3 linked regions of the Drosophila melanogaster genome follow. The protein of the gene in region 3 purifies or fractionates together with the protein of the main gene of each other region. This does not show direct contact. Each region holds a gene or a part of one and is shown on either strand. Other genes may lie near its edges.

Region 1 (9,217 bases), on a different chromosome or scaffold from region 3:
ATTTAGTTTATCCTTAATTGATTTTAAATTCCGATATGGACCCCACAACTAATTCGAATCGAGAGATAAATGTTTTTAAGGCATGCGGTGTTACTTGTTGGGTCCGTTTTGGTCAAAACTGTTAACTGATAATCAAAAAAAAAAAAAAAAACAAGGAAACATATCGCACCTTTATGTTGGCGGCTTAAAAAGCCCCCATATCTCGGGAGAAACTGTTGCGATTCATCAAAATCAAAAATAAAATCAAAATCAAAATCAAAATCTGTACGTAAGCAAATATTATGTGTAAGCAAGGCATTTATGTTATAGCAAATAGAAATATTCATCAGCTGGCAATCGGAAGGGCGCAGGATTAGTTGGAAACTGTGCAACAGACAAAACTTGCCTTAATGAACGGACAATGAAATTTTAGATTGTTTAAATAACATAACTTACCAATAAACTTACGATTATACCACAACAATGATTTTTGGTAACATCAGATTGTTCAAATTTAATGATTTCCTTACACGAAGTCTGTAGTTATATCTACTTAACACTTATTATAACTAATGGTCTTATGCTGGGGCTACAGGATAATCTTATATTATTTCTTTAGGTTGTGAAGTCGCAAGTGCTTTTTTAAGCTCTTCTGGGAGAAAAATCCCTCTGGACATTGCGGGCATGGGTGGGGTCGAATCTTGTGGCTTGTGATATGCTTATCCAGGGTCTTTTTTAAAGCAAACCTGACGTCGCAGTGCGGGCATTGGTGCAGCGTTTTTGGCTCATCCGGGTTTTTGTGCGTCTTCTCGTGACCCCGTAAGCTCTGCTGAGTGTCATAGGCTTTGGGACACTGAGAACATTTAAATGGCCGATCATTATTGTCCACGTGCCAAAGGGTATGCTTCATCAGTGACTGATTCGCACTGAAACCCTTGCCGCACTGGTCGCACTTGTAGGGCTTTTCGCCTGTATGGATGCGTAGATGACTCTTAAGGTGATGGTTGTGGGAAAAGGCTTGGCCGCACTCCTCACATTTAAATGGCTTTATACCCGAATGGGTTCGCTGATGTTTCATCATGTTCGATTTCTCGAAGAACGACTTGTCGCAGTCGGGGCACTTGAACTGGCGATCCCCGTTGTGGACCCGCAAATGGGTAATCAAATGCTGGTTCTGTACGAATCCCTTGCCGCAGAGCTCACATTTAAAGGGTCGCTCTTCCTTGTGCAGACGGCTATGCAACTTAAGGCCAGAGTTTTTGGCAAAGGTTTGTGGGCAGTCGGGACACTTATAGGGTCGTTCGCCAGTGTGCCTCTGTATATGGGCCCTAAGATTGCCTCTCGTGTAAAAGGTTTTGTCGCACTGTGGACATTTGTGACCCTTTTCCTCGTCGTGGGTGTGCATATGCGACTTCAGAGTCGGACCGTGCGTATAAGCTTTCGGGCAGAGGGGGCATTTAAAAGGACGCTCTCCAGTATGACGGCGTCTATGGGTCGTTAGCTGGGCATTGGTACGAAATCCCCGACCGCAGAAATCGCAGAGGTGCGGCTTTTGTGTATCACCTTGCTCCTTGTGCTTGGCAACGTGCCTTGCCAACGCCTTTTGAGTCGAGTAACTCACTCCACACTCTGTGCACAGAAGCGATTGATTATTGCCGCCAACCGTTTGGCGCCCTCCGCCGCCGGGAATCCAGGGTTCATCTTGGTCTTCAGTCGAGCCCACTGTCCATTGGTCTGAATCCTCCCTTTCGCTATCAGTATTGTTATTATCATTTTCTTCATCAAAGGCATCTTCAAATGTCTCCTGAATGGATACTTCATCTTCCGTTTTAATATCGTTCATTGTTACTAAAAAATAAATTTAAATTTTAGCATATAACGGGCAAGTCTAGAATAGATTTTAGCAGTACAATGGAAGTTCTTGTGAAAGTGGATGACATCGAATAGACCTACTTTCAAAAACTTCTTGCAATGGTTCACTCTCCTGACCATTAGTTGCCTTTCCATCGGTTGGCTCATCGATATCAGTTTTTACATCAGGCCGATTAGCGTCCAATTTGGTTACATTTGTGTCCAATGGATCCTCGCAACCAACTATCTCGAAGGGTATTAATGGGTTCATAGTACCTCTTCTGCAATGGGATCTACTCAGATTTGAGTTTGATTTATCGAGCTGGAGGAGCTGGGAAAAGAACTGAAAACTCTGCTCACACTTGTGACGGAAGTGAAAGGCATTTTGAGCGGCCACCAGGCAGGTAGGACAGATCTTTTGTGGCATTTCATCCCGTTTCACGCGACAGATCTCCGGCAGAATTGAGTTCAACATTTCCCAAATGGGGGGATCAGAGATCTCCTTGGAGAAAAGGTCCACCAGTATGGATGAGTGTTCGGCGCAGGCTCGGCAGTTCTTTCCCATGCTGGCGTCCACTGATCTTTCCATTTTTCCCGATGATCTCCCAACCATAGAGGCCGGAATTTCAAAAGAATCAACAAATGTTGGGCACTTGCTCTCCTGCCAAGTAGTCAATGTGAACGTATTCGCACAGAGTTGTCAGCTGCATCCGATGATTACTCGATAGTCGATAAGGTTTCATATGCCATCTCCATTAACGTCGTGAGGTTAACTGTGACTGGGAACAAATCTGCGGCATTCAAAACAATGGTGTCGATAGGTAGGATTCCAATCATATTTAAATCAAAATGTATGTAAATCTATATTAAAGGCATTAACAATGAAAATAAGAATATTAGAGATAATTTTAATTTTAATAAATAATTTACAAATCAAGTAAAGTTACAAATCAGTCTGTATTATAAAAACGTTTAATTAACATATAATCTTTAACAAGCGTGCATGCAATGATTTAGGTATTAAAGGTTATCATTTTAATATTTATCTTCATATTTAAGTTGAAATTTGCTAACTTTGCCAACAGCTGCAATAATTACTTTCACTTTCGCTTTCACAGTCACAAGATTGACTCATCGGCTTAAAAATACCAGTGACTCGCCACGGAATCGCGGATATCGCTCATCTCTATCAGCTTTGAGCAAAATTAGTATCTTGTATTGGCCAAACAGACAAGCGAGCGAAGGCCTTTTTGTTGTCGTTTCTGGCAATGATTTAGGTCTTCATCAAGTGTTATTAAGCTAGGCATAAAGTTTTACCCATCGCTGGACATGGATATCCTGGACATCGATGAGGCACTAAAGGATGATTCATATATGTGAGTGAAACCACTCCTGTTGTTTTTGTTCCTGTTGTTGTTGCTGCTGCAGCTGCTGCTACTGCTGCTGGCACTTCACAGGCAGAGGCATCGATGCTATAAATACTCATATGCCTGGTACTCCTTGGCAGATTTCTGGCGGATAAGACCCACGACGATGTCTCCAACATATTGCAGCAGTGGAAGACGAACAATCAGCCGCCGTTGCAGCAATTGCACTTGCAGTACAACAACGAGGGTAAGCCTTTTCCACACATACCGATGCACCCGATCACAAACATACACACATGTGCAGCACATCATGCAGTTGCGCTTTCTAAATCAAATTTGGGTTAAACTGGCGGCTACGTTGACAAAGTTCAAGTCGCATGTGGGCAGCATTACTTGGCCAGTAGTTACCGTTGTCTTTCAAAGTGGCCGATTGCCATAATTGGCAACAGCGCCAATGTTATTGTTACGGTAATTAATCAAGTCTCAATACGCACACACACACACGCGTTCCCATTGCAAACAGCTGTGCGTGGTACGGCAATAATATTGAAGGAAAAAAACTGGCTATGCTAATATGGCAAGAATCTCGCATTATACGCAAACATTATTATATAAATCCAATTTACTTCCTGCCCAGCCAGCGAAAGTCAATCAAGCAATACGCAAATAAACTATTTGCGTACAATTAAATAAACAATTACCACCGAACTAAAGACGAGGATCAAAAATCGATTAGGCGATTTAATTTGAGTGAAATATTGTCATGCTGAGCTATTTTTAATGATTTTCCAAAGTGGAATGCCAGAATTCCAAATATTGCTAAAAATATAAGTTAAATAAAACTATTTACAACAAAGTTCATACTTAATAGTCATTCCTGTAAATGTATGCAATGGTTAAACTCAGCATAGATAAATATTTTAAATAGCTTAAATAATATATACAAAATATTCTTTTAAGCGATAACAATAGTAGAAGTGGAAGTAAGAAAATTACGTTAACAAACAACAATTACTTATAATTATATATGAAAGCTTCAGGGCGTTTATCCAGTAAGTTAAAAAATAGCTAAATGCTAACTTAACGGTAAAATATCAAATAGTGTGCTGAACACATCGCTTTTGCGAAGCGTCCTTTGGATCTTTACTAACACTAAAAAAATTGTAAACTCCCGGAGATTGCTAGTAGTGTGCACGGAATTTAATTACTGGGTTTATTTCCTCAAAAGATTTTGTAATTTTACTAGTTTCCTGAAAACTTTGCGATGCAAATATTTGCCACTTTCAAATCCCACGAGCCGGACAGCCGCTTGATCCAAAACTTCAAAAAGCACGTGAATTCGCAGTCGCCACTTGACGATTTGCGAAAAAATCTAAATGAAAAAAGTAAAATTCGAGAATATGTACAAGAGCTGATTGGAAATGAGCAACAAATGGGATCCGTGCTGGACACGATCTCTTCCACCGAAGAGGACCACCGCGTGGCCACTGTGACCGGATGGTCCACGGTGAACATCGCCAACTGCGCCGGCGTTTCCAATTCTTCAATTTTTGTGGCACTGAAGTGGGTGATGATGCCCATTAAGGTGGAGATATTCAACTTCAAGCGAAGTGGACCGGAAGATAATATGGCACGTGGACAATTTCTGTTGGACAACCTGTTAAGCGCAAATCGCCTAAAACGCTTGCAAGAGGAAGTAGCAGTTATTAACACGTGCCAGAAAATCGAGGTGCGTGTCACACCCGGTCTGCCCAAATCGATGATGTGTGCCCAGATAACAGACGAATTTACAACTGCCATTCAGGAGGCCCTTAGATCACGCTATGAGGTGGATTCACGCACCTTAGATCTCTCCAGGTTCCACGCCAGTCCGGAGTTGTCTCTGCACTTTTGTCCGCTGCATATGGTCAAGCTGCTAGAAACAGTGCTAGTTCTTTCAAACCATTTATTTCCCCATGTGACCAGCCTAGTACTGAGCAACAATTATTTGTGTTCCCTGAAAGCGTTTGCGGGAAATTCCCAAAGTTTTGCCAGCCTAGAGCGGTTGGACATAAGCGCAAACAGGATTCAAGATTTGGGAGAACTCAATTACATCAACAAACTGAGTTGCAAGACGATCTTCTTGGCAGGAAACGGTTTGGCCAAGCTAAGCGTGGACGTCATTCGAAAAATGCTACCACAGTTGAAAAATGTTCATGGCTGTGTGCAGTTGGGGGAAAGTACAGAAGCTGTTGATAATATTCCGAAGTCTCAACAACTTCAAGGCGGTGGGACTAATGGTTTAAAGTTTTGCCAGGACTTCATAAGTTCATACTACACTTTCTTTGACGATACCGAAGAGCGTTTCAAACTTAAGAAGTATTACGACGACCAAGCCATGTTCTCGCTTAGCGTGCCGGTACAACTAAATTATGTCTACGGCTACAAGCTGTACAACAGAAACCAGAAGCGCCAGCATTCCTCGTTTGCACAAAACGCCAAGCTGCAAGTGGGTAGAGCTGCGCTACTTCTCGCTTTAAGCCGCTTGCCTTTGATGCATACAGACTTAGAGAATGTCGGGCTAGACATCCAGGTGTTCACTTCGAGTCTACGCATCTTTACGTTGACGGGATACTTTAAGGAGATATCATCGGATACTCTGGAACCACGACGCTTTCAGCGCACATTCGTATTGCAGACTTCCAATAGCCCCGGCTGGTTGATAACCAACGACATGCTGTGCATAACTTCGACTATGCCGGACCCGAAAAAAACCATTAAATTTAAACCAGAAACTAATATGATAAATACCGACCCGTCGGTAGAAAAAATAAATAAACCTGCAGTGACAGTTTTAGACAGAAAGTCTAAAGAGGATGTCCAAATTTCTAGACCCCTATCAGGAAAAGAGCTGAATCCTCTTAATAAGGCAGTGCAGAAAATGAGCCTTTCCCAGGTGGACCATCTTCCCAGTGAGAACTTCAACGATATGCCACCATTAGTAGCCATTGGTCCATTGACTACCGGGCAAAATTGTTTGGACTATGAAATGGAGGATATTTTAGTGGCCGATGAGAATAACTTTGACTTGGACATTGATGATGACATCCTGTTTGGATGCGATGACCTTTAAATATGAACAAAAAAAATTAAACAATTCAAACAAATAGCTTTTAGAAACCTTGCACCTATCGGTTAAGACACCATACATTACTATTCATTACTTTAACGAGTGCAGAACTCAAGGATCTAATTTATTTTTAAACTTTTATATTTTACGAAAGCCTTCAAAAACAATTCGAAAACCTTTACTCGCCCAAAGCGTCGGAATCTGGATTTCGTAAGTACAAATAAGCAATTGCAACTAATTTGTATATTAAAGTATCTTATTTTTTCAGAGCCAAAATGGAGCGGGAAATGACAGCGGTGTTGGAACCGGGTCGGTCGCGGGTGCCCCAGCAATGCTTCAGCTGGAAATTGGCGGTCTTGTCACGACGAATATGCACAAATCCTTCCTGCAAGACACCTCACCGCCGTCTTCCATCTGCTCCTCCATGAACACTGAACGGATGAACAACTCGCTAATCACCTCAGCAGACTTTACGAACTTGAACTTCCTTCAATCCACAATTGGTCTTGAGCAGGATCCAAACCTTACCACTACGCTTACCAACCAGACAACTGATAACATGGGAATCGGCGGCAGCATAGGCGGATATACGCTCAGTGACATGATCCGGGATCGCAAGGCGCTGGAGTCGCTGACCATGTGTGAGGACGATGGGACTCTTATCAAAGACTCGCACATCGGGCAAATTGACGAAATATCGTTGACACTGAGCAAAACTGCTTCCGGCTGCAGCACAATGGACAACAGCACAGACAGTATGTCCATTCCCCTGGCCGCAGATCGAACGATGCCCGTTGTGGTATCGGCAGTTTGTCCTGCCCTACAGCGTACCATGATTTTAGGGGAGGAGATGATCGGCGACACAACTTTTAACCTCGTGGATAGCCTTACAACTTCTGCGCTGCAATCAGAGTCTGAGTCTCTGCCAGTCGATGGAAATGCGACATTCAAAAGACCCACTGCGAGTGCTACTACAGCGGACGAAACCCAGGTGCTAACAGGTAGGCAGATGAATACTACCTTCACCGACGGTTGCAACACTCCTGAGGGCCGCTGTGAAACGCCTGAAAATATTGACAGGAAGCTGGCCTTGCTCACCATGGAATCCTCCACACCACTTACAACAAACATGCGCTCACACTGCTACCACAATAACAACAATAATAACAAGGCAGGATATACCCCTACCCTAAAGGGAAGGGGAGATATGAACCTGTCCCCAATTGTTGGCGCAACACCGCAAAAACCAACTGGAACCGCACCAGGGCGATTAAACAACACCTTTGAGCCCGTGGCAAAAACAGCTCCGTTCAACGGCGAGAAGTTCGTGCTGGACACTATGGAGCTCTTGGAGCAGATCGAACAGCCGCTGGATGGCACTTACAACCTGCAAATGTCTGAACAGCACAGGCAGATGCAATGCGTCATGGACTTGGCTGAGGCGGAAGTGGAGATGCTGGCCCAGCAGGGCGACGAAGAGCAATTCGAGAATATGCTTGCCGAGCTGGGCAAGGTGAATACCCTAAACGAGGAGCAACTGAAGATGCAAAAGTCGCTAGATACCATCAAACGGCGCTTCCATAGAGATGAGGCGGAGGCAGAGGAGCGTGAAGAGGAATTGCAGCAGTCGGCAGCCGAAAAGGTGGACACCCCAGTTCTAAATCAGAGCCACTCCAGCAGCAACAGCAGCGGCGGTGGTGGCGAACGGCTGCTCAGTCGCCGAAGTCGTCTCTACGACGATGTCAACCTTAGTGCAATGCACGGCAGTAATGGAAGTTCGACCAGCACCAACTCTGCCTCATTCATCGTCCAGCGTAGAGATATGCCACAAGTGGAGCAGCCTGCACCAGATCCTGATCCCGAACCAGCGGAAGAGCCTCCAAAGTCCCAGGTGACAGCAGAGATTGATCCGGCAAGCTATAAGCTGCCGGAGCGAAGAGAGCGGGATCGCGATCGCTTCAAGACCATTAAGATTTCGAAAGAAATGCGACTGCAGCCGGAAATTATTGTGCCTTGTATAGACGATGAACCACAGCAACTCGAGGACGAGCAAAAGCAATTAGTAGAAGATGTTCGGTACGAGGAGGATCAGCGACAGGGTTCACCACCGGGTCGACTTTCTCGTCGAGATCAGACCACAGCAATTAGCAACAACGCAGATGCTAGTGCGAGTAACTATCTGACCTACAAAAAACCCAAGGAAAAGAGCCTTATCCAACGACGTCCGCAGCAGCAGGAAGCGCCTTTATTAGCCGAGCCAGCGCCTGCGTCGACTCTTCCCCAGCCGCGTTCCTTGTCCAGGCCTCGCTACATCAGTGGTCTTCAGAAGTTTACTACGGTGAGCAAGGCAACTTCAGCCGGAGCGGGACTAAACGCCACTCCAGCCGCTGCTATGCCGACTACTGTTACAGTGCCGGCCAACGGTAACGGGGAGCTGAAGAGCCCTATGGGTATTAAATCCAAATCTTTCCACAACTTGTCCTCCACAATGAGCGGCGTTGGCTCTGGAGCCCTGCCAAGACCTAGTTTGGGCGGTGGACTGCGGCGTCCCAGTGCGCAGCCGAGCAAGCTTATGAGCGGATTGCGTGGACCAACTCAAGCCCAAGAGGTTCGTTTCGAAACTATTTTTCTTATCGACCTGTTTAATTCTCATATTTTTGACTTTTCAGGATGACTCCGCTGTATTTAAAGTACCGAAATTGGTGAGTGGGCTGCGTGCTCCTGGCCTTGCCCCGAAACGAGCAGGAGCTAATGGTTTAGCTCGACCTTCGTCCGGATATTACAGTCTGAGTGTTAAGACGGCACCAGAGGCAGACACTCCTGAGGTTAGTTAATGCAAGATTTGTTAAGGGAACGCTCAAGATCTAGCTTTTGTGCTTAGTTAAAACTAAAATTGGAAACTGCCAATCTT
Region 2 (5,103 bases), about 15 Mb from region 3:
GGATTAGGATTAATGTAGACTTACTATATAAACTTACTATTTTGGCCTTCATTCATTATTTTATTTTACCTTCTCGAAGGTGTACATTGCGGAAACGGCGGAACCCAATCTGCGGAGTCTGCTGATCGGCGCGCCCTATGTGGCCTACTCAAGCGGCATCCTAATGGTCTACTCCCTGGGCTCCATGATGTACTGGCGTAGTGTTGCGTGGTGCGCCAACGTGCTGCCCCTGCTGTCCATGGTGTCTATCTCGTTTATACCGGAGACTCCGGCCTGGCTACTCCGCAATGGCCACGAGAAGCGTGCGCTGCAGGCCCTCTCGTTCCTGCGGGGCAGCGAGATCAGTGCGCAGAAGGAGCTGAATGATATGAAGCAGAGGCTGGCCAAGGAGCGGGTGACCACCAAGACGAACGAGAACATCTTCCAGCTGTGCTGCCAGCGCGTGGCCATCAAGCCGCTGGTCATTGTGATCGTGTTCTCGCTGCTGCAGATGTTCTCCGGCACGTTCATCGTGATCTTCTATGCCGTGGACATGATCTCGGAGTTCGGAGCGGAGTTCGACTCCAAGCAGGCGGCCATTGCGACGGCAGTTGTCCGGGTGATCTGCTGCATGGTCTTCTGCGTAGTCCTGATCTTCGTTCGCCGCCGCAGGATCATGATAGTGTCGGGAATCGGCTCCGGCTTGTTCTGCCTGGTGCTCAGTGTCTATCAGTATGCCAGATTCGATCAACCGAAAATGTCGTACGACGTATTCGTTGGTGCCGGCTGTCTCTTGGGCTACATCATCTTCAACACGGCTCTGATGGTGATGCCCGGCATTATGATCGGCGAGCTCTTCCCGGCTAGGATACGCGGACGGACTGCCGGCGGAGTGTTTGCCTCCATGAACGTCGCTCTGTTCATCTTCGCGAAGAAGTTTCCCGCTTTGCAGGCCATGCTCAAGATGCGCGGCGTGTTCCTGGTCTTCGGCGTGTCCAGTTTCCTGCTCACTGCCTTTATGTGCCTTTTCCAGCCGGAGACGAAGGGCCGCAGCCTGGAGCACATCGAGGACTATTTCAACGGGGACAACTGGCTCTGGTTCCGGCGGGATCGAGGCTACAAGACGGTCAACCTGCAGCCCCTGGAGCCATTGAAGGACACCCGGGGGCTGGAGGCCTAGGTCGGGGGGCTTTAGTCTTAAAACAGGTCTTAGCTTAGCTAGTTTTAGCCATACTCATAGTTCTAGCCGCAGTGCCTCGTAGTCGCCCTAGACTCGCTCGATTTTCCAGTGACCCCCAATGGGCCACTCCGACAGGGAATCTTCAAATGTTAGGTTACCAATTCAAATTGTGATCGCTATGCTTTAAATTGTGTCTAATTGTTAATTAAAATTATGATTAGAAATAAACAACTTGAAAAATAAAAGTCATCATTTGTTTTTCGGGCAATTTGCAGAAAATGTTTGCAATAAACTTGTTTTTAAGTGTTTGAACATCTTGACTTTTTTAAACTTTAAATAAATATTAAGGGTACTCACGTAGATTAGTAGCGTTTTTGTATTTCAAATGGTGGTAGTAATATTTTTGTTTCTTTCTTTCTGGAGAGTTTTTTTCTGACCACCCGAGGACGGTCACTCTAATTCGAGAATCGCGGGAAACATGGACAGCGTGAGTTGAAAATATTTAGTTTTTTAGCAATTTAGCATAGCAACTATTTGTTTAAAGGATTTGAAAGCCAAGGTCGAGAGCTGCGCCCGTACGGCGGATACCTTCACACGCCTGTACTACGCCTCCGTGGACAACCGACGCCAAGTAAGTAGAGATCCGCCTTGAAAGTCTGCATTTCATGGGAAAACGAAACTCAAATAGATTCCACCTGCAGCAAATTGGACGCCTCTATTTGGACAATGCTACGCTTAGCTGGAATGGAAACGGGGCCATCGGCCGCCAGATGATCGAGAGCTACTTTCAGGAGCTGCCATCCTCAAACCACCAGTTGAACACCCTGGACGCGCAGCCTATTGTGGATCAGGCTGTGTCCAACCAGCTGGCCTACCTCATCATGGCCAGCGGCTCCGTCAAGTTCGCAGATCAGCAGTTACGCAAATTTCAGCAGACTTTCATCGTTACCGCCGAGAATGATAAATGGAAGGTCGTCTCCGATTGCTACCGAATGCAGGAGGTCTGAGATCCACACACTTGTATTTTAAGCTAAGCTAAAGTTCTTACGTCGTAACGAGTTTATTAACATATCTAAGCTCTTATAAATAGATTGACTTCCTATTTGTCCGCCTCTGTCTTGGGCTTCTTGGTGGCCGGCTCGTCGGCGGGTAGTTTTTCGGAGAAGATGGCCTTTGGCTGCGTCTGCTTGTAGGCCGGTGCTATCCAGTAAGGATTCTCGGCTGCGTCCTTGGCATACTTCAAGATGGCTTCCCTGGGATCCTGGTCGTCGTCCACCCGCTTGCTCAGGCCCAGATTGCGGATGACATAGGAGGAGAGGGTGCCGCCGGAGCTGGCCACGCGGCCGCCCTGACCGCTGGTGATGGGCAAGTCCGGTCGCTGGGACTTGACAGGATCCATACGGGCCTTCTCCATCCGCTTACGCGAGGTACGGGACTTTTCCTGCCTGAACAATGGCAGGGCGTGCGGCGTAATGATCTGGGAGACTCCCACCATCTCCATGGGCTGCCTCTTGCGATGCGTCTTCACTACGCACAGCTTGGCGCCCCGGATGCTGCGGTGCTCATCGTAATAGCACTTAATGGTTCCATTGCCACAGCTCACGAACAGTTGGTTGAGCTTTGGGTGCCACAGCGTTTTCACCACGTGCGCGTTGGACACGGGAATCCGCTGCACTTCCTCGTAGCTCTTAGTGCTGTAGAAATACAGGTTCGCTTCGGCCTGGCCCTTCGGAAGCGATTCTCCGGTGACTAGCAGACGGTCATCTGGACTAAAGCAGCAATCTGTTGTGTCGTAGCGGGAGAACAGGTTTGTCCAGGTATGCAGCGGCTGTTTGAACTGCCGCAGATCCCAAAGCTTCATGGTCTCGTCGTTGCTGCGAGTGGCCAACTGCTGACCCATGTACGAGAACACAATGGAGGTGATCTCCGAACCCTTCTGATGCGCATCCCTGACGCAGTGCGTGGTGTTCACAAACATCTTGCGCGTGTCCCACGTCTGAATGGAACCATCCACGCAGCCCGCTGCTATGAGTGTGGCGTCCCTGTTAAAGTTGCATGATGCTGCGTTGGTGCGGAGGCCTCCCTGCGCCCTTGTCTTGATCACCTGCAACTGTTCCTTGGACTTCAATCCCTGCCAGATGCGCAGAGTACCGTCGAGAGCTGCGGTCAGGAACTGCTCCCTGTTAAATGGATGCCAGCAGCCGGAGGTCAACTGTGCCACGTGGCCCTTGGTGCGCGACATGTCCGAGATATACTGGTCGCCCTTGCAGCACTCCAGTTTCTCGAATCCATCGCGGTCGAGGACCTTGGCCTGGGCGTTTCCGGAGATGACCAGGATCATGTCGCCGGTCACGGAGTACTGGAGAGAACGTATGGGATGGTTCTCGCACGGCTGCAGTTGCCGGAAGCTACGCATGCTCGAGTCCATGCCGGCGAAATCCCAGAAGCACATATCGTAGTCTATGGAACCAGAGACCAAGCGGGCACCCGAGGGATCGCCAGCCAGGGCAAGGACAGCGCGGGAACCGTGCTGCATCTGCACCTCGTGTGTGTAGGGTATGCGCTTAGCAAGGCTTTGTTCGTCATCTGAATCTTCATCGGACGAATAATCATCGTCATCGGAGTCTTCGTCTTTGGACGATTCCTTCGTGGCTTTCTCCTTGTCTGTGGTCACAGCTGGTGGTAGGGGACCTATTACGTCCTCCTCTTCCTCGTCTTTCTGGTCATCCTCCTTCGGCTTGGACTCCTCCCTTTTTTTGTCCATTCCCGGGCGGGTAACTCTCGCCTTTTCTATCTGCTCGTTGATGTCGAACACCTTGGCCGCCTTGCGACCAAAGCCACTGATGCCCATCACTTCCTTGAGGTGCTGGCTCTCCAGATCTTCGGCCACGTCCTCGATCTGCCGAATCATCTGCTCCTTGTCCATTTTCTTGAATCCTCCGCCATTTCCGCTGGCTTCAGTGGACTCCTTTGCATCTTCCGCCTCGGTTTCGTTGGATCTTGGCTCCGCAGGAGGTACGTTTACATTCAGTTTGATTTTCCCGAAGGAAATTTTACCGCGTTGCATAGTTTTAAGGCCCCACGCTAAGTGGATTTTCAAATTTTTAATTAAAACTATATTTCTCTGAAAATATGCGGTAAATATTTTGTAAACAAGTGAATTAAGTGACCGTTTATATTCGGACTGTCAATTTGGTATTTTAAAAGATCGAGCGAATTGTTATGGTCTTTAAATAAGCTCTGGCTTGCCCATTAAAATTTTTCAATTTAATAATGACTCATATATTGTTCATGTATTGCAAACAAGATATATATAAACAATAAAGGAAACTGCATTGGAATATTAAGAGTTTATATCGATTGCAATTTAAGAATAGTGCACTCAAAAATACTAAACACACATACGGTCACTCTAATATAGCTGACTGGCGTCTAACCTAAAATTAGGCGCGCAGTGTTGTTTTGTGTCTGCCGGAATTATTGTAAATTGGTGACAATTTCGCAAGGCGGCGTAATACATAGTTGATCTATTATCTTGTTACTGGAGAGGAAGAAGTGCAGGATGACAGACTCTCTGGAGTACAACGACATAAACGCCGAAGTGCGCGGAGTCTTGGTGAGTCGCAAAAAAGCCGGCGTATTTTGTCACATTTCGCATGACCGAGGTTTTCCATTTCCCTGCGCGCAAAAAAGTGTTCCGGACGCCTAAAGATGACCGAGCAGAACATCATCTTCAAGAACACCAAGACCGGCAAGGTGGAGCAGATCTCGGCAGAGGACATAGACCTGATCAATTCGCAGAAGTTCGTGGGCACCTGGGGACTGAGGGTGTTCACCAAAGGCGGCGTGCTCCACCGCTTCACCGGATTCCGCGACAGCGAGCACGAGAAGCTGGGCAAGTTTATCAAGGCTGCCTACTCGCAGGAGATGGTCGAGAAGGAGAT
Region 3 (6,573 bases):
AAAGCTGGTCTACTTCTCAACGGAGTGCGTATTCGCCCCCAATGCGTATCGCGGCCACGCTCGAGCGTTTCTCAAGGATTTGGAGAAAGTGCGACCATCGGTTATAATGGACATCATCTACTCTGGCGAACAGCTTCGCTTCAAGGACACGGTAAAGAAGCCCGAGCGTGGCACATGCACCCGATGTGGCTTCGTTTCCTCACAGCAGCCGTGCAAGGCGTGCGTCCTTCTCGAGGGTCTAAATAGAGGATTGCCGAAGCTGGGCATAGGCAAGAAGTCGAAGGGCGAGCGAATGATTGCCAAGCAGAACCAGGAACTAGCATTGCGGGAGCGAGCAAACTTAGTAAAAAACGATTTTTAAGAACACATATGAATTTTATTTATTCGTGATTCCACAAGATACAAATTGTGTTCATCCAAGGTTGCCAACCTGAAAAGATAACAACAGGAACGATAAGTTTGGTTTCGCAGGCTAATTTCATTAATACTAGAATGCATTATGAAGCTCAGTGCCAAGTTTTTAACCAGGGCCCATAACCAGTCAAACAAGACGCTCTATCTCCAAAAGAATATTGAAGAAGATTGCCAGCGCTTGACCTTTATATGGTGTCTGTGAATGGTTTAAGTGATCATCATTGAAATCTTCATTTCCGCTAAACAGAATCTCTTTTCGTACTAACCTTTTTAGATATTGGAATTTATAAATGAACCATTGACGGATTCATTTTGCTACGCATGTTTCACATCTGTAAAAAAAAAAAAAAAATCAAAAACAATACAAATAAGTAGTTATTCAAATATAACTCAATCGTTTAAGCGATTTTAAAATGATCAGTTAATTATATTAGAAAAATTTGAATCACAACGGTTCATTAGAGATGTCAGAAATTTTAAAAGCATCATTTACATATTATTTCGTTCTAGAGTATAATTTACCTTTTCAAAGGAGAGATCCTTGTTTGGGCATATGACGCGACAATCAAAGGTGGTTTTCTTGAACACTGCAAAATGACAAAAATTAAATGGTTATAAAGAGCAGCAACCGATTTTCTAAAAAACTTATAAAACACAAAAATAATAAAATGAAGGGGTTTCAGTAAAAACTCGTATAGCTTCATAACATTTTTCAGTCGAAAGATGGTGTAAGTTTCATTCATCACAACACAATTAATTGTCCAATTTACACATAAAATTTAAACTAAATTTTTTTATTATCTTAAACCGAATTATTACCTTTTTCACTGTGTTAGTGAGCCACGTTTGATACATGATATTGACGTTGCAATGAACTGAAATTAAAATATATTTGTGTTATTCAAATGTAACAATCTTTTTAACAGGTTTTTTTAAAGCGTTTAAAATTCAGTGAAAACTAGTATAGCATCAAAATGATTTTCAGTCGAAAGATGATGATAGGGTCATTCATCACGAAATTTTAAGTAGTTTTCATAAATGAAGAGAATAATTACCATTTCACGCTGATAACCTCATTTATATTCCGAATCCAAATCGAAAGACCGATCTGCAAGTAATAGATGAGTTCTCATAAGTCACGGCCACAAGTAAAAATTATATTTAGTTGAGAGTCGAATGTGTCAGAATTAGTTATAACTGATTTGAATCACAACGGTTCATAAGAGATGTCAGAAAATAGAATTATAAATCATCAGATAACTGAGAAGGGCTAATTTGGGATTTGGAACGAATTCTTACCGTCTGTCTCTCTCCAACTCTGCCAGAAAACACGTGTTGAGCATAAGAGGCCATTTTGTTTCTGAAAATGGAATGCTGGGTTAGCCATATTCGCAAATACTAAACTTAGCTAGTTAAGAGGGTTTAAACTGTCAGCTTCACGAAAATAATATGCACCGCAAACTCGGGTTTTTTAAATTTGGGTTATGCTTGGGCAAAGCACGTTTTTCTGCGAGCAAGTAAAAAGCACTAGCTAAAGTAGTAGTTTCTTTACACCAGCGACTCATGCTCGCATGAAAATATTAATATTATTTAACAAAAATATAAATAAATACAATGATGAAACTTACCAATTCACAAATGCCAGCGCTTTAACGCAGCGCCTAGTAATCACAGATTCACCTGCAATATAAGCAAACGCATCGTTTAGCTAACGTTCTTTTTTAATTTTTAATTTGTTGAGACTGCAATGGAATCTCGACCACGTGACTGCAATTTGAATTGCAATCGGTGAAGTGCATTTCCCTGCGCATCACAAATTAATCTTGCAACATTGAGTTCTGCAAACAAGCCAGTAGAACTCGATTTGCAGTTATAATCGCTGCACTCACCGGTCGCCTATCATATCTATAATACTTACATTTTTATATATATTTTTTTAATCGTTTCCAATGCGGTGATGTTCGCTCCACGTTCTTTAAAAAAGTGAAGAGAAGCCAGTGAAGTTGGCGGCGATTGGTGGTGCAGTGTGCACGCTGCTTGTACTTTCAAGAATACTGAAACGCCTAACGCCTGCGTTTGTGGTCTGTTTTCAAGGTGGCGCACTGTTATGAAAAACTGATTTACCAAAACAAGTTCGCATTGAACGATTTAAGTAAATACATACAAGTTATTGCCCCATATTAAACTTAAGTCAATACTTGATTTAATTTAATAAAGAAGAAAATAAACAAAGAAAAAGAATTCACACAAATAAAACACTAATAATATTTTATGTTTAATAAACTTTAAATAAAATGAATAGATCTTAGACAAATACTACCCGACTAGAAAATACTCTTACTCAGCTAGTGGATATGCGAACACGAAAATTTATCATGATAGATACTGCTAAATAAAATGAGAAAAAATTAAAAATTGTTCATAAGTGTGTTTTGAGCGTTTTGTAATTATAAGGAGGGGTGTGGCAAAGGTGCTCGACTTGGCTATTGATCCTGATCAAGAATATGCTTTTGTATACTATTTTACACTACGAGTAACGGGTGTAAAAACTCAAAAGCTGACCAGTGCAAAGAAGTTTTACTTCGATTTATCCGGGTGGTAATATTCGATTGCAGCACTTGCAGCTCTACAAACGCGGTGGTTCTAACTGTTTTTCTTGCGGACCAGACTGACGCGGCGCCAAGCTTTTTTTGTTTCTATATTTTAGGCTTAATTGCGAGTGCACGATGACGGATTTCAATGCATCCGGAGTCATTCTGTCTTTGGGTACGTAAAAATGTCTGCTCAATTTGTGATCGTCCTTAAAATATTCGTTTTTTTTATCTGACAGATGAGTACTTCGAGCAATGCGTAGTACCAAAACCCAGAATACCACCACGATACTCGAGTAATGCAGCCCCCAAGGGCGATAATCGCCAGCTGGGGCACTTGCAAACCTACAAGGACCAGGATCAGGGTGGCGATACCGATGTTGAAGTTGAAGATTTCCAGGGTTCCGTGCTAGCAAATGGCCAATCAATTCTAACCGAGTTCGATTCCAATGTTTCGCAAATCAACTTTGAGATTAATGACTTTGATAAGGTGTACTGCGAGACGGAGTCTCAAAGCTCGGAGGCCTCACAAGGCTCAGCCACGTGGCGCATGAATGGTAACAACGTCAACCGGCCATCAGCGGCGGCTCAACTGGGGCTCAGTGACCAGGCACGTGGTCACGTTAAGTCGCGCCTTGATCTGAGAGAAGGCTCTCGATTTCGTAATAATTTTAACAAGAGACGCAATCGTCAGTATAATCACCATGAACGGAATGAATTCCATCGTCATCAGCACCAGCCCCAGATTGCCAAGAAGGAGGTCCTGCGCTACGCCTACAATGCCTTCAGCAGTCAAGAAATCCATTCAAATCAACAAACTGACCTTGACATTGATGTAAATAAACATTTCCAGTATACTCACCAGGCACCCACTGATCCGCGTAGCAGCCGCAACTACATGGGACCTGACCACTACGACTGGACCGGCTCCACCTCGATCGGCTCTTTAATCGATTCGGTGTCCCACATTCCGGATAATCGTGTCAAGAACCATTTGCCTTGTGAAACCATCACGCGTTACACGGACAACTCGATGAATGTGTTTGCTGGAGAAGCGCAGGATATTAATAAGCCGCAGACTGACCTGAAACCCGCAGCAGTTGATTCCGAGAGCATGAAAATCAGTAAAATGGCCCACAACGTGATGCTCTTGCTCAAGAGCGTTGCCCAGCAAAACAACCAAGGAGACTCGTGTGACATCTTCAAGGTAATATTCGAAATCATGTGTAATCTAATACCACACAATAGAGATTTGAAAGAAAGCCTTACAAACTGCACGTGTAAGAAAAAAGGCATTAAGCTTCAAGAAATGATTCATATTAACTTTGTATTTTTAAATAAGTTTACGGTTTTCTTATTTAAGAACATCGACTGGATAAACGGACCGATGGAGGAGTCCCGAAGTGTCGCATTGCCTGAACGTGAAGGAGGAAGGGACCAACTGCAACGTTTTAACTAGAAAACCGACATCAAGTTGCATTTAAGGGATCTATCTGACTTCTGTTATTTCTAAGTACTCAGCAGCCCATGTTTAAATTAAGTTCGCCGGATTGGCGGGCACTTTCTGTGCGAATTGCGAGTCGACGCAGGCAAGAAGAAGACGATTTCGACGATGCCCAGTGAATGGCAGGGGTGAATAGTCGCTTTCTGCCTCTTTTTTTTATATATATAACACATATTTCGGCTGATAAGAACAGGCTGGGCCTCTTATCAGTAATGCACAACAAGAAGTACACACGGACGAACGAGATGTGAGAAGCGAAAGCGGACGAAAATAGAAACAAACGGCGATAAATTTACAGCGAAGGCGATTTTATATACATACATAACTGATGTGCCGGAGACGAACAGAGTAATAATCAGTTAATCTGCCAAGCACCCAGAGAGCGGACGTGAAAATGATCATCGGGATCGGATAGCGGGATAGTTAGTAGTGATCGTAACTTAGGATAGTGTGCTAAACACTAACCTCAACCTATGTTTTGTGCTTTGTCGAGTGTAGAACGAACACGCAGTTATTTTGTTGTTTGTGCAAAAGCATTCGAAAGTGGCCAACTGAAGAAAGAGCCATCGATTCTTTGCATTTGGTTACTTTTATAGCGTAGTCTTTTTCCCAAACGATTTTCTTAACGAATACGAAATAAACTGAACACAGTACCCTAAATGTGCGTTGTTCGTCTTCGGTAGTGCCAAGCATGTTGAAGTCGAAGCAGTTGCTCCAACAGTTTTCCAAAGGTAAGGATGTGTGGGTTTCCGGAGCCGAAATGGCACAACTTGAGGTGTTTTACACACCCTAGCTATCTGTGTTTTCGTTGCCGCCTCCATTATCAGCCTTAGGCATGTGCTGGAGTAAACTAATACCATATCACCAGATCCGTAGGCTCGCCTTGACAGCCTTAATCGCATCTGACGCCGACCAAGCCGAAGATTATCAGTAAACACTTTTTCGCCAAATTCTTTGTCACGATGAACTTTCCCCACGCACACTGGCTGACAAAATTATTCGCTCAGAAAGTGGATATTATCTTAAATATCCTTTTTGGTTTCCGGATTAACTTAACTTAACCAACTTTTCAACAAGTATTGAACGCAGATCTCAAAGTGTGTGTCACTAAACTTTGTTATGCTATAATTATATTGATTATAAACAAACAAATTTTACATACTGGATAGCTTGATTTTACTTATCTTTAATAATGGTATTTAAAGCTCACTGCAGTATGTCAAACCATTAGGAAAATCTACGAAAAACATGATTGGTACAAACCAAATACATAACATTGTTTCATTAAAAGTTTTAGAGGGAAAATACTTTCCACTTGCACTGTGTTGTTTATCAGCTGTTCCGGGAAATTTCCATTAAAACCTAGTAGTTACACATCGATTTCGGCCGTAGGATGCTTCAAAACGGCAGGAAGATTATTCCCGAGGGTTTGAGTAAATTTCCCGTGACGAGGACCCACATTTGATCGGACTAACGAGGTCTTTCGCTTGCAATTGCCATTTTGAACAGAGTACGCTAAATATACGCCGACCAACTTCAAGCTAAAGCGGGCCCTGGTCGTCACCAAGCTGTCCCGCTATGAGTTCGAGCAGCTACGCCACCCGGAACTGTCTCCGGATCAGCTCCAGCAAAAGCTCCGTGACCGGGGCACCGACGTGGAGATGGTCCTCCATCTGCACAAGGTGCACAAGGACTTCGAGCGGCGGGTCGTGCAGAGCTTCCAGGACGTCGGCTGCGAGGTGAAGTTGTCCAGCAGGTGCGTACCCATGTAGTCCTCCAATTCAGTGATCGGAGTGCAGCTCAAAGCAACGGAGGCCATAGGTACATGTACTCAAGTAAATGAGTAAATGTACTCAAGCCATGGAAATGATTTCATTGCTTTGAATGAGATTAGTTCTATGAGGACATGTACCCAGACATCCACACCTTTAGGCCTCCAATCACTGCCACCAATGTTGTGTTGCGTGCCTCGTCACTTCGTCACATACTATACCTATATGTATCTTCGATTTGTGACTACTACCCGCTACAATTGATCTCCACCATCTTCACACACTTCGTGTC

The links.
Region 1: the proteins of Boot (region 3) and Nxf3 purify together in Drosophila melanogaster (affinity purification with western blotting; 2 studies listed by BioGRID, with this or other methods). This does not show direct contact.
Region 2: the proteins of Boot (region 3) and Nxt1 purify together in Drosophila melanogaster (affinity purification with mass spectrometry, with the first as the bait; one study listed by BioGRID). This does not show direct contact.

What each region holds. Positions count from the first base shown.
Region 1 is NT_037436.4:13,962,187-13,971,403, forward strand, and holds the start of Nxf3 (nuclear export factor 3), read left to right. Parts: upstream 1-3,016; 5' UTR 3,017-3,159; coding exon of another isoform or gene 3,160-3,206; intron 3,207-3,337; coding exon of another isoform or gene 3,338-3,444; 5' UTR 3,445-4,461; coding exon 4,462-6,309; 3' UTR 6,310-6,460; coding exon of another isoform or gene 6,461-6,516; intron 6,517-6,574; coding exon of another isoform or gene 6,575-8,914; intron 8,915-8,975; coding exon of another isoform or gene 8,976-9,131; intron 9,132-9,217. Other genes in the region: Meics (meiotic central spindle), read right to left, coding at 587-1,827, 1,933-2,443; ssp2 (short spindle 2), read left to right, coding at 3,160-3,206, 3,338-3,444, 6,461-6,516, 6,575-8,914, 8,976-9,131.
Region 2 is NT_033778.4:23,808,482-23,813,584, reverse strand, and holds Nxt1 (NTF2-related export protein 1), read left to right. Parts: upstream 1-1,610; 5' UTR 1,611-1,637; coding exon 1,638-1,646; intron 1,647-1,703; coding exon 1,704-1,790; intron 1,791-1,847; coding exon of another isoform or gene 1,848-1,860; coding exon 1,861-2,166; 3' UTR 2,167-2,258; downstream 2,259-5,103. Other genes in the region: pippin, read left to right, coding at 80-1,159; CG5543 (uncharacterized protein), read right to left, coding at 2,259-4,226; Ssrp (structure specific recognition protein), read left to right, coding at 4,722-4,775, 4,853-5,103.
Region 3 is NT_033778.4:9,091,099-9,097,671, reverse strand, and holds Boot (bootlegger), read left to right. Parts: upstream 1-3,013; 5' UTR 3,014-3,140; coding exon 3,141-3,180; intron 3,181-3,244; coding exon 3,245-4,212; intron 4,213-4,368; coding exon 4,369-4,464; 3' UTR 4,465-5,166; downstream 5,167-6,573. Other genes in the region: Ctu1 (cytosolic thiouridylase subunit 1), read left to right, coding at 1-361; Nadk2 (NAD kinase 2, mitochondrial), read left to right, coding at 5,903-5,942, 6,019-6,265.